Linked DNA regions of Arabidopsis thaliana. The protein of the gene in region 3 interacts with the protein of the main gene of each other region in a pairwise test. Each region holds a gene or a part of one and is shown on either strand. Other genes may lie near its edges.

What was found. The genes of interacting proteins can lie anywhere in the genome.
Region 1: the proteins of DER2.2 (region 3) and AT1G07860 interact in a protein complementation assay, tested with the Arabidopsis thaliana proteins (one large-scale study listed by BioGRID).
Region 2: the proteins of DER2.2 (region 3) and UBC34 interact in a protein complementation assay, tested with the Arabidopsis thaliana proteins (one large-scale study listed by BioGRID).

The regions. Positions count from the first base shown.
Region 1 is NC_003070.9:2,428,398-2,431,225, reverse strand, and holds AT1G07860 (Serine/Threonine-kinase RLCKVII protein), read left to right. Parts: upstream 1-1,794; coding exon 1,795-1,960; intron 1,961-2,000; exon of another isoform or gene 2,001-2,042; coding exon 2,043-2,284; 3' UTR 2,285-2,315; downstream 2,316-2,828. Other genes in the region: AT1G07870 (Protein kinase superfamily protein), read left to right, coding at 1-121, 219-408, 514-905, 985-1,283, 1,848-1,960, 2,043-2,284; AT1G07850 (transferring glycosyl group transferase (DUF604)), read right to left, coding at 2,507-2,626, 2,788-2,828.
Region 2 is NC_003070.9:5,916,319-5,921,980, reverse strand, and holds UBC34 (ubiquitin-conjugating enzyme 34), read left to right. Parts: upstream 1-1,638; 5' UTR 1,639-2,002; intron 2,003-2,004; exon of another isoform or gene 2,005-2,783; 5' UTR 2,784-2,818; coding exon 2,819-2,875; intron 2,876-3,078; coding exon 3,079-3,133; intron 3,134-3,546; coding exon 3,547-3,585; intron 3,586-3,667; coding exon 3,668-3,731; intron 3,732-3,831; coding exon 3,832-3,893; intron 3,894-3,959; coding exon 3,960-4,017; intron 4,018-4,094; coding exon 4,095-4,122; intron 4,123-4,286; coding exon 4,287-4,378; intron 4,379-4,558; coding exon 4,559-4,835; 3' UTR 4,836-5,149; downstream 5,150-5,662. Other genes in the region: AT1G17285 (uncharacterized protein), read right to left, coding at 694-763, 869-1,266. UniProt on the Arabidopsis thaliana protein: Accepts the ubiquitin from the E1 complex and catalyzes its covalent attachment to other proteins.
Region 3 is NC_003075.7:2,457,937-2,462,293, forward strand, and holds DER2.2 (DERLIN-2.2), read left to right. Parts: upstream 1-1,916; 5' UTR 1,917-2,198; coding exon 2,199-2,297; intron 2,298-2,391; coding exon 2,392-2,491; exon of another isoform or gene 2,492-2,662; coding exon 2,663-2,877; intron 2,878-2,949; coding exon 2,950-3,033; intron 3,034-3,112; coding exon 3,113-3,166; intron 3,167-3,259; coding exon 3,260-3,442; 3' UTR 3,443-3,803; downstream 3,804-4,357. Other genes in the region: CLS (cardiolipin synthase), read right to left, coding at 3,968-4,061, 4,180-4,274. UniProt on the Arabidopsis thaliana protein: May be involved in the degradation process of specific misfolded endoplasmic reticulum (ER) luminal proteins.

The DNA of each region.
Region 1 (2,828 bases), on a different chromosome or scaffold from region 3:
AGCACAGACTTTTACTTTTCAAGAACTTGCAGAAGCTACGGGAAACTTTAGATCGGATTGTTTTCTTGGTGAAGGAGGTTTCGGAAAAGTTTTCAAGGGAACTATAGAGAAATTGGATCAGGTACTTGTGACAAAGAAAAATCCTATCTGTTTTTATCAATTGGCTGTGAGATTTGTCATAGTTTTGAACGGTTGGTGAAACTTGGTTCTGCTGCTAGGTTGTTGCAATCAAGCAACTTGATCGTAATGGGGTTCAAGGAATCAGGGAATTTGTGGTTGAGGTATTGACTCTAAGTCTTGCTGACCATCCGAATCTTGTGAAGCTTATTGGGTTTTGTGCTGAGGGTGATCAGAGACTACTGGTGTACGAGTATATGCCGCAAGGATCCCTTGAAGATCATCTACATGGTATGTTGTAAGATCAAATTCCTATCCTTTGCCTCTGTATTGTTTGTCTCGCAGCTACCCCCTTTTCTCATCTAACTTTTACATTGTTGTTTTGACTGTTTCAAGTTCTCCCTTCTGGTAAAAAGCCTCTTGACTGGAACACCCGGATGAAAATAGCAGCTGGTGCAGCAAGAGGTTTAGAGTATCTGCATGACAGAATGACGCCCCCTGTGATTTACCGAGATCTTAAATGTTCGAATATTTTGCTTGGTGAAGACTATCAACCGAAACTATCTGACTTTGGGTTGGCTAAAGTAGGACCAAGCGGGGATAAAACCCATGTCTCGACAAGGGTTATGGGAACGTACGGATACTGTGCTCCTGACTACGCTATGACGGGTCAGCTCACATTTAAATCCGATATATACAGTTTTGGAGTAGTCCTTCTCGAGCTTATCACCGGAAGGAAAGCGATTGACAATACAAAAACGCGTAAAGATCAGAATTTGGTTGGATGGGTATGTTTTGTCTCTTGGCTGTGACTCATAATAATCTTTACTGAAACAAGACTCATATTTTCACGGTGCTTTTTAACAGGCACGACCATTGTTCAAAGACAGGAGGAACTTCCCAAAAATGGTTGATCCATTGCTTCAGGGACAATACCCAGTTAGAGGACTGTACCAAGCACTAGCAATATCAGCAATGTGCGTTCAAGAGCAGCCTACCATGAGACCAGTGGTATCTGATGTAGTATTGGCTCTCAACTTCTTAGCCTCTTCTAAATATGATCCGAATAGCCCTAGCAGCAGCAGCGGGAAGAACCCTTCTTTTCACAGAGACAGAGATGATGAAGAGAAAAGACCACACCTCGTCAAGGAAACTGAATGTGAAGGGTCCTCATAGGATATCCAATAAGAGAGTGGTAAAAAATCAAATCTAATTTTGGCTTCACCAAGAAATTGGGGAAAAATATAAAACCAACTCAGGTACATTTTTAACATCTATTGTGGATGTAAATCTTGACTCGGCTTCTTTGTATGTAGAATGTTTCTGTTCTGTAGAAAAGGAAAAAAAAAAAAAACCATTTTGTTTTGGGACATATATACATATATTGAACAAAAACAAATATCGTTGGTCATATATATATTTTCCCGATCAAAAAGTCTGGTAAATTAGGATTAAGTAATGTCTAAAAATTCATAATGATGAATGGCAAAAGTCGTAAATATGTAATAGAAATAGGACTATGATCACGTGATGCAACTTATCCCGCGTGAACCCGTTAAGATTTTTGCCGTTAAATAACCAAAACCTAATCCAAGAAGGCTTCACAAATCTCTTCTCTCTTATCTCTCTCTACTGGTTTTGTGATTCTTGGAAGAGAAGCTACAAGATAAGACAACAATGGCGGAAAGATCATTCTCTCAGCTCCCGATCTCTTCTTCTCACATTGGCAGAAGGACAGGAAACACCCGGAGAGGGATATTTCCGGTATCGGAGTATTGGATCCATGCAATTCCGGTGATCGTTTTTCTCTGTTTCTTCACCCTCTGGATTTTCTCCCACTCAGGTTCCTTATTTCTCCGATTCTTTAATCTAAGAAAAGATTTTCCCGAGAAAATGAGTCTTTCTGATTTTGGTTTTGGTTACAGTGAGCGTCATGAACGATGGAGAGATAATGTCGATACATCGTCTTGAGAAATCCATGGCCGTGAGAAACGAGTCTCATGTCAGTTTAGCGATTCTTGCTTCCTCTGCTGTTTCACCAGCCTCCTCAGCTCTCGTCGCCGTCGTCTCTACCAATCAGAATCTCACAACTTTTCACAACGCAACTCAATCGCAGCAAAATGCAACCCAGTCGGTGAACAAAGCAAAACAGCCACACGCAGTCTAATCTCTGAACGGAGAAAAGTTTCTTTCAGTTTCTTACTGATTTCTTTCATGAACAGATAACTTTCAGGGATTGAATTTTTCTTTTCTTTGTATTTGCTTCAGTTGAAACAATAGTTTTTGATTTAGGATTGAGAATTGTTTGTGAACGACGATACACAGAATGTTTTCAACAAATTGCATAGTCATTTGAAGAAATCTTTAGTGAGTATATATCTGAATCTTGTTAATGCTGCTGAGGATGTTCAAGCTCACTGATCTCTCCATCTGCGCAATTTCCGACCCAAATATACATCGTTTGGTTTCTCCTACTCGGCAATACTCTGCAACAATCCCTCCTCGGTGACTGCACCAAACACACAATTTTAACATCATGTTATTTCAACACCGGTTTATTATATGATCTCAGCCGGTTATCTCTGTCAATTCACTAGCCAAAACCAAACCGGTATGACTATATTTGATGCAAGTTGTTAATAATGAAGCAAAGAGAAGATGTGGACCAACCTTGTGCCATCGGAGGGGATCAGGTCGCTTGAGAACGACGA
Region 2 (5,662 bases), on a different chromosome or scaffold from region 3:
TTCCTAATAACAGTAATATTATTATACATGGGATCAGCAAAACGACGTCATTTTTGAGTAATGTGTTGGATGCCACTTTGTTTCTTCTTGGTCCAAAAGTTTGTAAACAATCTCAACAATCTGTATCGGTGTTTTAGAGAAGTACAAACTTACATGTCAAAAGGAATCTAGTGCTCACAGCTGTGATTACTTCTTTCATTGTTGCTGTTTTGCAGTGAGGAGTAATCACTGGATATCGAGATAGGCAGCTAAATAGTCAGGATATTGTGAGGTTTCCTGCAGAACAACTTTCAATTTTTTACGGATCTGAGGATGCATTTTTGAAGCATATAGAACCGAGAACATAGATAAAGAGGTTGATCATTTTATATTTAAGGTTTTAAGCACCACTGAGAACAACATGCTATGGCTGAGGATAAGTCTGCTGAAGTCAAATAAAAGAAACCACAAAGCAGAGAAAAGAAGAAGAACTCAAAAGATTAAAGAGGTTGAGAATAGTTTTGGAAAGTTAGACTACTCGAGCTAGGAGGCGTTTTAAATTTTCATCCTATCTTGATCGATCAATAAGATTAAAAGATGAGTTCATATATTTCAAGTAGATTACAGCATTAAAAGCACACATGTCTAGGTACCTATTCTACAAAAAAAACGAAAGTAGAGGATCTAAATAAGGACAAAAAAAGAACTGGAATTTTAAGGTTTTCTTGATGTTGTGATCTGCTGTTGTTTCCTACTTGCTTTAACATCTACCGGTGGATTACACCTGATACAAAAAGAAACACTTTTTGATGTCAATTACACCTAAAACTCATCTTTGGGGATACATAAAAAAAAAGAAAAACTAGATTGTGTCTCGTATCTTCTTTACTTGTTCTGTATAGGGTTTGAGCCACTCCTTGGGATTCTTCTGAAGCTATCATTTTCTCCCTTAAGTGGCTCTTTCTTCATCTCCTTGCTTACAGGCAAATCTCTCACAGCTTGACTCGAATGTGTCATCGTTAACAGAGAACGTCCTTCTACACTATACTTGCTGCTAAAGAAAGCTACAAGTAACAGAACCAGAGCCACTGAACAGCATCTCTTCATTCTGAGTTCTCTTCTTGAAATTTCCTTTAGGACTCTTGAAACCTCTTGACTTTTTCTTGTTCTGTTTTTCTGTGAACTGAGAAAATCTTGGATGGAGATGTGTGTTAGAGAAAAGAGAGACGAGAGACTTCTAAAGCTTGTTGGTTTTATAGAATAAGATTTATGTGTGTTTGAACACATAGTTATTGGGATCTGATCACGTGATCTTACTTTGACTAATGCTATTTAATCAGATGGTGAGATACTTATCTTATTCTTAATCATTTACTTACGATGATGATGATATTCCTCAAGCATCTACATTGAAACAATGATACAATATCATATGTAGAGACAAAGATCCACATATTCACATTACCTAACTCATGTAACTGCTTTGAAACTAAGAGATGGTGGTCATGTGATTAGAGCACGTGATTTCTGCCTACTGTTATCGGGGAACTCAAAAGAGGCTGAAACTTAACTTTATTGAAATTATTTTTTAAGCATAACTTTGGAATTTGGAGGTATTAGTGTAAGTCCAATTTCAGAAAAGAAAAAATTGCAGGTAACAGCTGTTTTGTCTCACTACTAATCACTAGTTTTTTTTCTTCTTCTGCAGCTATTTTTTTTATATTTCATGAAGAGAAGGAAAAATTGATTCCAAGAACCGGCACAGATTCTTTGATGAGTGGTGGAGAATAAAGAAATAGGGAAAAGTGCATTACGCAAAATAATTATTAAATCATTGATCCTCTAATAACGAACCGGAATGGATTATACAATACCGGTCTAACTTGTGTTGAATTTTGTTCGGTTTAGATAAACCAAGCGCGAGTTAGGCTAATTCTTTCTCTCTCTACCCGCGGAGAAGGAGAAAGTGAGATTAACGAGAAACCCCAAGAGAGAAAATCTTCATCGACAAAATTCGATTCAGGTGATCAATTTCTTTCATATTTTCGCAATTATTTCTTGGATCTGATGTTATCTACTTTGGAATTTCTTCGCTGCATTATCTTTTGATTTGTTGTTCTTGTTCCTTTGCGTTTCTGGGTAAGAGCGAAGCTTGAAATTGCAATTGGAATCTCTAACAAGTTTAAGACTTTGCTTTGATACGGTTTATGTGGAAGTATCTGTGATTTTCTTATATATTTATGGAAGATATTGCAGCTGATTCGAGTTTGGTTTGCCTATCATTGTTGCAATTTTCTCGGTTCAATCAAAGGATTTTCTAGGTTGATATATAATTCCAGGGATTTCCAGATAATTTCCTTTAATTTGGTTGGAATTCGATTGAATTTTCGTTGCTTTCAATTGGTTTGCAGTGATTTGGGTGAAAAGATTTTTCCAAGCTCATGGAAATTGGGGATTTTTATTCAAAGGGTGTTTCTGGTGATCATAGAGTTGTTTGACTCAAGTTTCATTTGATCTTGTGTGTATTTGGTTGGTTTTTCTTTTCAATCAGGTCATGAAAGTATTGCATAATAGCTAGAAGTATTGTTATCTCTGTATATGTGTTGTGAGATAGTACAATTGGTAAAGTTTCCATATCAATGGCACGAAAATCAACTGCAATTTACTCGTTTCGATATATGTTTTTATGTAGTTCATATATGTAATTCAGACATAAGGGTTTTATGTAGTCCATCTCATCAGTAGGTGGACTTTCACTCATATTTGTATTTCGTTTTGTTGATAATGTTAAATGGGTGTAACAGCTGCTGCAGCTATTCACTTCGTCCATAGCACGTAGATGGCAGAAAAGGCCTGTATAAAACGTCTTCAAAAGGAATATAGAGCACTTTGCAAGGTACACTCTCTTTACTTGTTTTTCTACCTCTCTCGAGCTGGAACCAGGATTCCATATTTTTATTGCTCAACCAGTTTTCTCTGTACTTTCAAATGATGCTGTATCTATATGTGAATGTTTTCTTGGTTTTGGTTTAGAGTAAGTTTCATATTTTCTTTTGTTTCTTTGGGGGTTATTTAATATGTTCTGTTTTTGGCCTTTAGGAACCAGTCTCCCATGTTGTTGCTCGTCCTTCCCCAAATGACATTCTCGAGTGGCGTAAGCCTTCCCTATCTTTTTTTCTTAATCTTTATTCCTGCTGGCTTCCTGTAATCCTGTTGCAAGCGTTTCTATAAAGATGTTATGATAAGTATATATGATGGACATATTTGCTACACTTGTGAGTATACGTTAAACTAAGAAAAAATGGGATACTACGATCTAAGTAGACAGAAGAGGTCTCACATTACTTTGATGGAATAGTGAAGACTTATTTATCAAAGGTTTATATGTACTTACAATGCATAGATTTGATAGTTTTCTTCTCAATTGTGAAAGGCTGTCAGTGTTACTGTTAGCCTGATAGCGGTTAGGGAGTTTCAGTCTTTCTATTATTACTGCATTTAGTATGTTAAAAAGGGTAGCTTGATCTCTTACTAAAATAGAGTTAAACTATTGGATTAATCTTACAGATTATGTGCTGGAAGGCAGTGAGGGAACACCTTTTGCAGGTGAAAATCTTCTTTTGAAAGTTTCTTGTTAGTGTTGTCTTACGCAGTATCTTATTTTTGATACTAAAATTCTCTTTACCAGGTGGATTTTACTATGGAAAGATCAAGTTTCCTCCCGAGTATCCTTACAAGCCACCAGGGATTACGTATGTTCCAATGGTTCCTCCAAATTCAGTCTCAACATTACTCTTACCTCATTTTTTGTCCAGTTTTTTAATGAACCAAATCTTTTTCTGTTTGCCTCAGAATGACTACACCAAATGGTCGATTCATGACACAGAAGAAAATTTGTTTATCTATGAGTGATTGTAAGGACAATCTGCACTTTCTGTTCATTATTTCGTATCAATTAACTTGTCTAATATCGAAATAAGTTGACATGGCATTTACAGTTCATCCAGAAAGCTGGAATCCGATGTGGTCTGTATCAAGGTATAGATTCTTTCTTTACTTTTGGAAGATGACAATCGATATACCCGTTGATAACCAACTTTTTTTCATGAATGCAGCATACTTACAGGACTTCTCTCATTTATGGTAAGCTCACTGTAGGTTCTACATATTTATGGACATCTTGTTTGAAAATTCTCATATTCTTATATTGTAATGGTTTATTAGCTTAGATATGAATATTCAAAAAGGAAGTCTATTTTTTCTTTTCTGTTCTCAAGCTTTCTCTAAACGTTTTCCTTGCGGCGCAGATGGATACCAGTCCGACAACTGGAAGTGTTAACACTACTGTAATTGAGAAACAACGGTTGGCTAAGTCATCTCTCGCTTTCAATTGTAAAACGTAAGATTTTCCCATCATCAAAAAATTTCAAATTCTGGATTCATATAGAAGCTAAGTTTAGTTATCTGTGGTTAGGATAGTCATAAAAGCTGGTTAGATAACGAATATAGGAATGAATGCAGTCCTGAGATTACATGTTTTCGGTATTTCACCTGAATCCAATGTTCTTACTTGTGACAGCCCAGCATTTCGAAAGCTATTTCCAGAGTATGTAGAGAAGTACAACCAGCAGCAACTAGCTGAGCAAGCTACCACACAACTGACAACACCAGAGTCTCCTCAAAAGAGCGATACCAAAGTCGAGTCAGAGAAAACCATCGATCCAACAAAGGGAGATTCAGAAGGTGGCTTGAAGGAGAGGAAAAAGAACAATAAACAGGGATTGCCAGCGTGGATAATACTGTTGCTAGTGTCGGTTTTCGGTGTGGTAATGGCGTTGCCTCTGCTTCAACTGTGATTTCTATGCAACAAACCTCGACCTGGTTTTCGTATAATCTCTCCTTGTGTCTCTCTCTCTTCAGCATCAAGAGTAGTCTCCTTTTGTCTAGTGCTCTTCGTCTGAATTTACTCATTTAGCACCTCATGGTTTGTGCTTGTAAAAGCAGATAACATAAGTTTGGTTTCACAATTACATACATATTGTAGCTTCGTTGGAACTACTTTGTATAGTATATATGAATTGAGGATAATGGTTTGGATTTGAAAAATAGAACCGTATGGTTTTCAAATTGTACTTCTCCTAGAGCTCACAGGTTAATTTGTCAATTTATGTAAATACTCTGGTGTAGTAACTTGATGAAAACAGAAGTGACAGAGAGAATACACAGACAATAGTGAATAGAATTGTTAGGTATATTGGGCCAATTAAGCAATTGTCCCTTTAGGCCCATTGGTAAGAAAAGGAAAAAACCATACTTAATGATAAATTAAAACCGGTATGGCTGTACCGGTTCAATCTGTCTTCAACCACCGACGTTGACTTGTTACCAATCTTCTTCTTCTGCTCGAGTCCAGTCCAGTGAAAGTGATTATGTTTATGGTTAATAATGTTAACTCTATAATTTAGTGGGAAAAATGTTATTTAATACCTCAACTTACAAAAAATGGTCAAATTAACCGTGAACTCGTGAAATGGCCGTTTTAACTTTCAACAAAAAGTTGACTTCTGTTTTAACATTCAAGTTTGCGTTGACTCGGCCTAATTAACCACCGTTAAAATTCCTTCTAACAGCGTAATTGACAGACGTTACAGAACATCCGTTAAGGTGATACGACGACGTTTTG
Region 3 (4,357 bases):
TTGTTTAGGGTTATATTACTATCTATACTCAGATGATCGGAAAATTAATAAACTATGCATGATAAAAAATGGGGTTGCGGGTATGATATTTATGGGGTTGTGGGTATTATAAACATAACGATATAATATCTATTTGTGTTTCGACACGAATCAAAGATAGTGGGACGCTTAAGTAACATTAATATCACGATAATCTCTTATCTGCTAACACGAGCCTTTTTATTCGAAGCCTTTTAAAATAAGTCTCAAACAATTGTGTACGAGGATAATTTGATAACAGGATAATTTCATATCGATTCCACACGTTGTCGCTTTGGGTTTTGAACAAGAATCAAAACTTATATTGCTATTTAATAATATTAGTATCGCGATAATCTCGTATCTGCTAACGCAAAACTAATAACACTCTCTGATTACTAACCGTGTACGGCTAACATGATAAGTTTGTATCTGATAAACACGATAACGTTTAGTTAGTTTTTTTTTAAAAACCCATAAGCAAAAGCCTACAAGTGGAAATGGTAACGAAGTTAGTCGTTAAAACTACTAGCAGATAATTAAAATAATAACGAGACGATGTCAATTTGTGTTTTGACACGAATCAAAGCTAGTGAGACGCTTCGGTAACATTAAAACATACACTCTTATCCGCTAACGCGAGCCTCTTGTTTGTAGCCTTTTAAATTAAGTCTCAACGAGCTTAGCTGGTGACAATGTTAGTCGATATACCTTCTAGCAAATAAGCAAAACAATAATGAGAGTTTCGCAGGTTGTATTCTGATGTTTTGCAAAAATAATCAAAACTATTTACATTTTCTGATAATCAACGGTATCACGATAATCTTATAACCAATAACAAAATAATTTCGTGGCTGCTAATCACGATATCATTTTAGTTAATTTATTAAAAAAATCCCATAAACAAAGGCCGAGAGGTTGAAATGGTAACAATGTTGGGCGATAACACATTCTGATAACATTAGTATCACGCTAATCCCTTATCTTCTGATAAACATTAATCCTCTCGCCGCGAAGTTCTTTGCCAAAAGCAATCAGACGGGGAGGGAGAAGAATCGGCAGCATCGTTCCTAGAAAAAAAAACATAAATCCTTGTAAAACAACTCAAGATAGGAAGTCAAAATCAAAATAAAAAGGAAACATCTATATCGATTACTAGCAAAAGACGCGAGGAACAAAGCACAAATCTGATAGATGAACTTCTGTTCGAAAAACAGAACGAAATAAAACAAGAATTTGGAGGAATCATTTCTTTTTTTCTTACGCCTCAAAACGACAGTCTCTTATCTTCATACAAAACTGGAAAGAGACGAGTAACTACGTAAGAAAAAAAAACCATTAATAAAATAACACAACTTCCCAAATATATCTACATAAAATCTTCTTCTACACTACTGCAATAATATCCCTCTACAAGCTACAACTTACGCAATCGATAATATAGGGGTACATGTGTAAAATTTTTGTTAACAGTGTTGGGCAAACAGTGCAAAATGAAGAGAGTGAATTAACAAGTTTTCGAAGCATATCAAGTGATATTTTTGTTTATATGAGTTTTGAGGACTGACTTCGTCTAAGGTTTGTTCGTGGCAATAAAAATAAAGGTTCGAGTTTTTTGGGAGCTGAGACAATCACGCAGATGTCTGAGCTTCACAGATTATTCTCAGACAATGTTTATTCTTCAAACGACTACTGATATCGTTTGTGCTTTCTTTGTAGTATTTTTTGTTGTAATCATAGGTTTTTTAGTTTTAGTTATAGATTTTAGTTTTCTGTTTTTCTTTTCTAAAATGATATATAAATTATAAATACTTTTTTTGTTATCAGATATTGTTTAAGACTCGACCCAAAATTATAAATACATTGATGAAAAAAAATAGTATATAGCTGATGTAATCCACGCGCTTGCTGATTAGTCGTGCTCATGTAATTAAACAAATATCGCAAATGTTAAACTATTATACACATATAAATTTCTGTATATACAAAACAAACGAAGAAGACGAATCTCTCAGTTTCGTCGTTCGTTTCGAAGTTGTGCGTTGGTGAAATTTGAAATCTGAATACACTCATTGCAAACCTTAGAAGAAGAAGAAGAAGAAGAAGAAGAAGCTTCCATAGATTCCGTTGGGCTTTTACTGTGTTTGATTGATCGGATCGATTGCGATTACGGAGAAGATATGGCTCAGGCTGTAGAAGAATGGTATAAACAGATGCCGATTATCACTCGCTCTTATCTCACGGCGGCTGTTATCACCACCGTCGGATGTTCCCTCGATGTACGTGCTTGCTTGCTTATTCGCGAATCTTTTTTGGGGTTCTCTGAAATTCTCTAAATTAGGGTTTCATATTCTGATTGTTTTTGTTTTGCAGATCATATCTCCATATAACCTTTATTTGAATCCGACACTTGTGGTGAAGCAATACCAATATTGGCGTCTCGTTACTAATTTCTTGTATTTCCGGAAGATGGGTAATTTTCCCTTAACACTACTCTATGAAACTGGATACAACATTTGTGTGCTTATTACTTTCATATGAAGCTCTTGTCTTTGTCACATTATTAGCTCTAGGCTGCTACTTGTTAATAGCGTTGTGACTGATTGATTGCTTATAAACAAATATGTGTTTGGGGTTGTTGTAGATTTGGACTTCATGTTCCATATGTTCTTTCTCGCACGATACTGCAAACTCCTTGAAGAAAACTCATTCAGGGGAAAGACTGCTGATTTCCTATACATGCTCCTATTTGGAGCATCTGTTTTAACCGGTATTGTACTTATCGGTGGAATGATACCATACTTGTCAGCATCATTTGCTAAAATCATCTTCCTCAGCAACTCATTAACTTTCATGATGGTTGGTAACTTCTGTTTCCCACAAATCTAAGTCGCCTCTAAATATCAGCTTATAGTCTCTTGTGTTCCACAGGTCTATGTATGGAGCAAACAAAATCCTTATATTCACATGAGTTTCCTTGGTCTGTTCACCTTCACAGCAGCTTACCTACCATGGGTGAGTTTAACTCTCTCGTTTCCCTAAACTTCCACCGGAATGAATAAATAACATCTTCTGCAAATTCTGGCTTTTGCAGGTGCTTCTTGGCTTCTCTATCCTTGTTGGTGCCAGTGCTTGGGTGGATCTTTTGGTATATACTCAGATTATCCCAAAAAATTTCTTCTCCAGTCTCTTTTGATCTTTTGTCACCCAAGTTAACTTCAGTCTGATCAAAACATTTCAGGGTATGATAGCAGGTCACGCTTACTACTTTCTGGCTGAGGTTTATCCGCGAATGACTAATCGTCGTCCATTAAAGACTCCATCATTCCTCAAAGCGTTATTTGCAGATGAACCAGTTGTGGTTGCACGGCCAGAAGATGTGAGGTTTGCTGCTGCGCCTTTCGATGAAATCCACCAAGACTGATTCTGTCATCTTACATTTCCCAAACCTAAACACCCGAATCAGTAGTTTGGCTTGTGGATCAGATATAAATGGTGCAAAGGCAGATGATACACAAAAGTCTATTTTGACTCTGACACGTAGTTGCGACCCACACACCCTAGTTTCTAGTAGTTGGGTGTGTTTTGGTTCCTTCTCTTTCCTCCCATCTCTTCATCTTTTTGTGTATACAAACATCGTTTGCTTTTAGTGGTTATTGATATGAACACACTCAATTTGTACACAACCTCTACTAGTGTCGCAATGTTTTAGCGAGGGAACATGTTTTGAATTCACTGCCCGACTCAGATATCAGAAGAAATGTACTTTTGTTCAGATATCAGAACAAATGTTTCATTGCTTTTAGTACATTTTTTTTCCTTTTCTATTTCAGTTAGCAGTAGAAAACAGTGAGAGCTGCGTATTCCGGAAAACAACAAGACATGTTCAAGCTTCTTTAATTAAGCATGTGCCTCGTGTGTGAAGTTTATAAATGTTGGAAACTAGAAACTATGATCTCTTAATCATAGATATAGGTCTCTTCTTCCAGTATTGTACACCATAAGCTGCAGTTGAAGCCATAGTCGTCGAAGCAACTAACCAGCTGGATACAAAACAACATGAGACCAATAACAAGATTTCAGAGAACACACTTCATATGTTTATAACTTTAAGGGTAGTGATTAGTCCAGCTGTGTGGTAATTCGAAAAAGACCTATTACCTTAGATAAGTGATCCATGTCTGGGTGTCTGGATTCCCAAACTCTGGTTGAAGTATTGCACCAGCGACTAGAGTCAACTGGAAAACTGTATTCACCTGTCGATAGACATGTTCCATTAACAAATCAGTTACACATACCAAAGATGCCAAGATGAGAACAAGCTGTATCACCTAGAGAT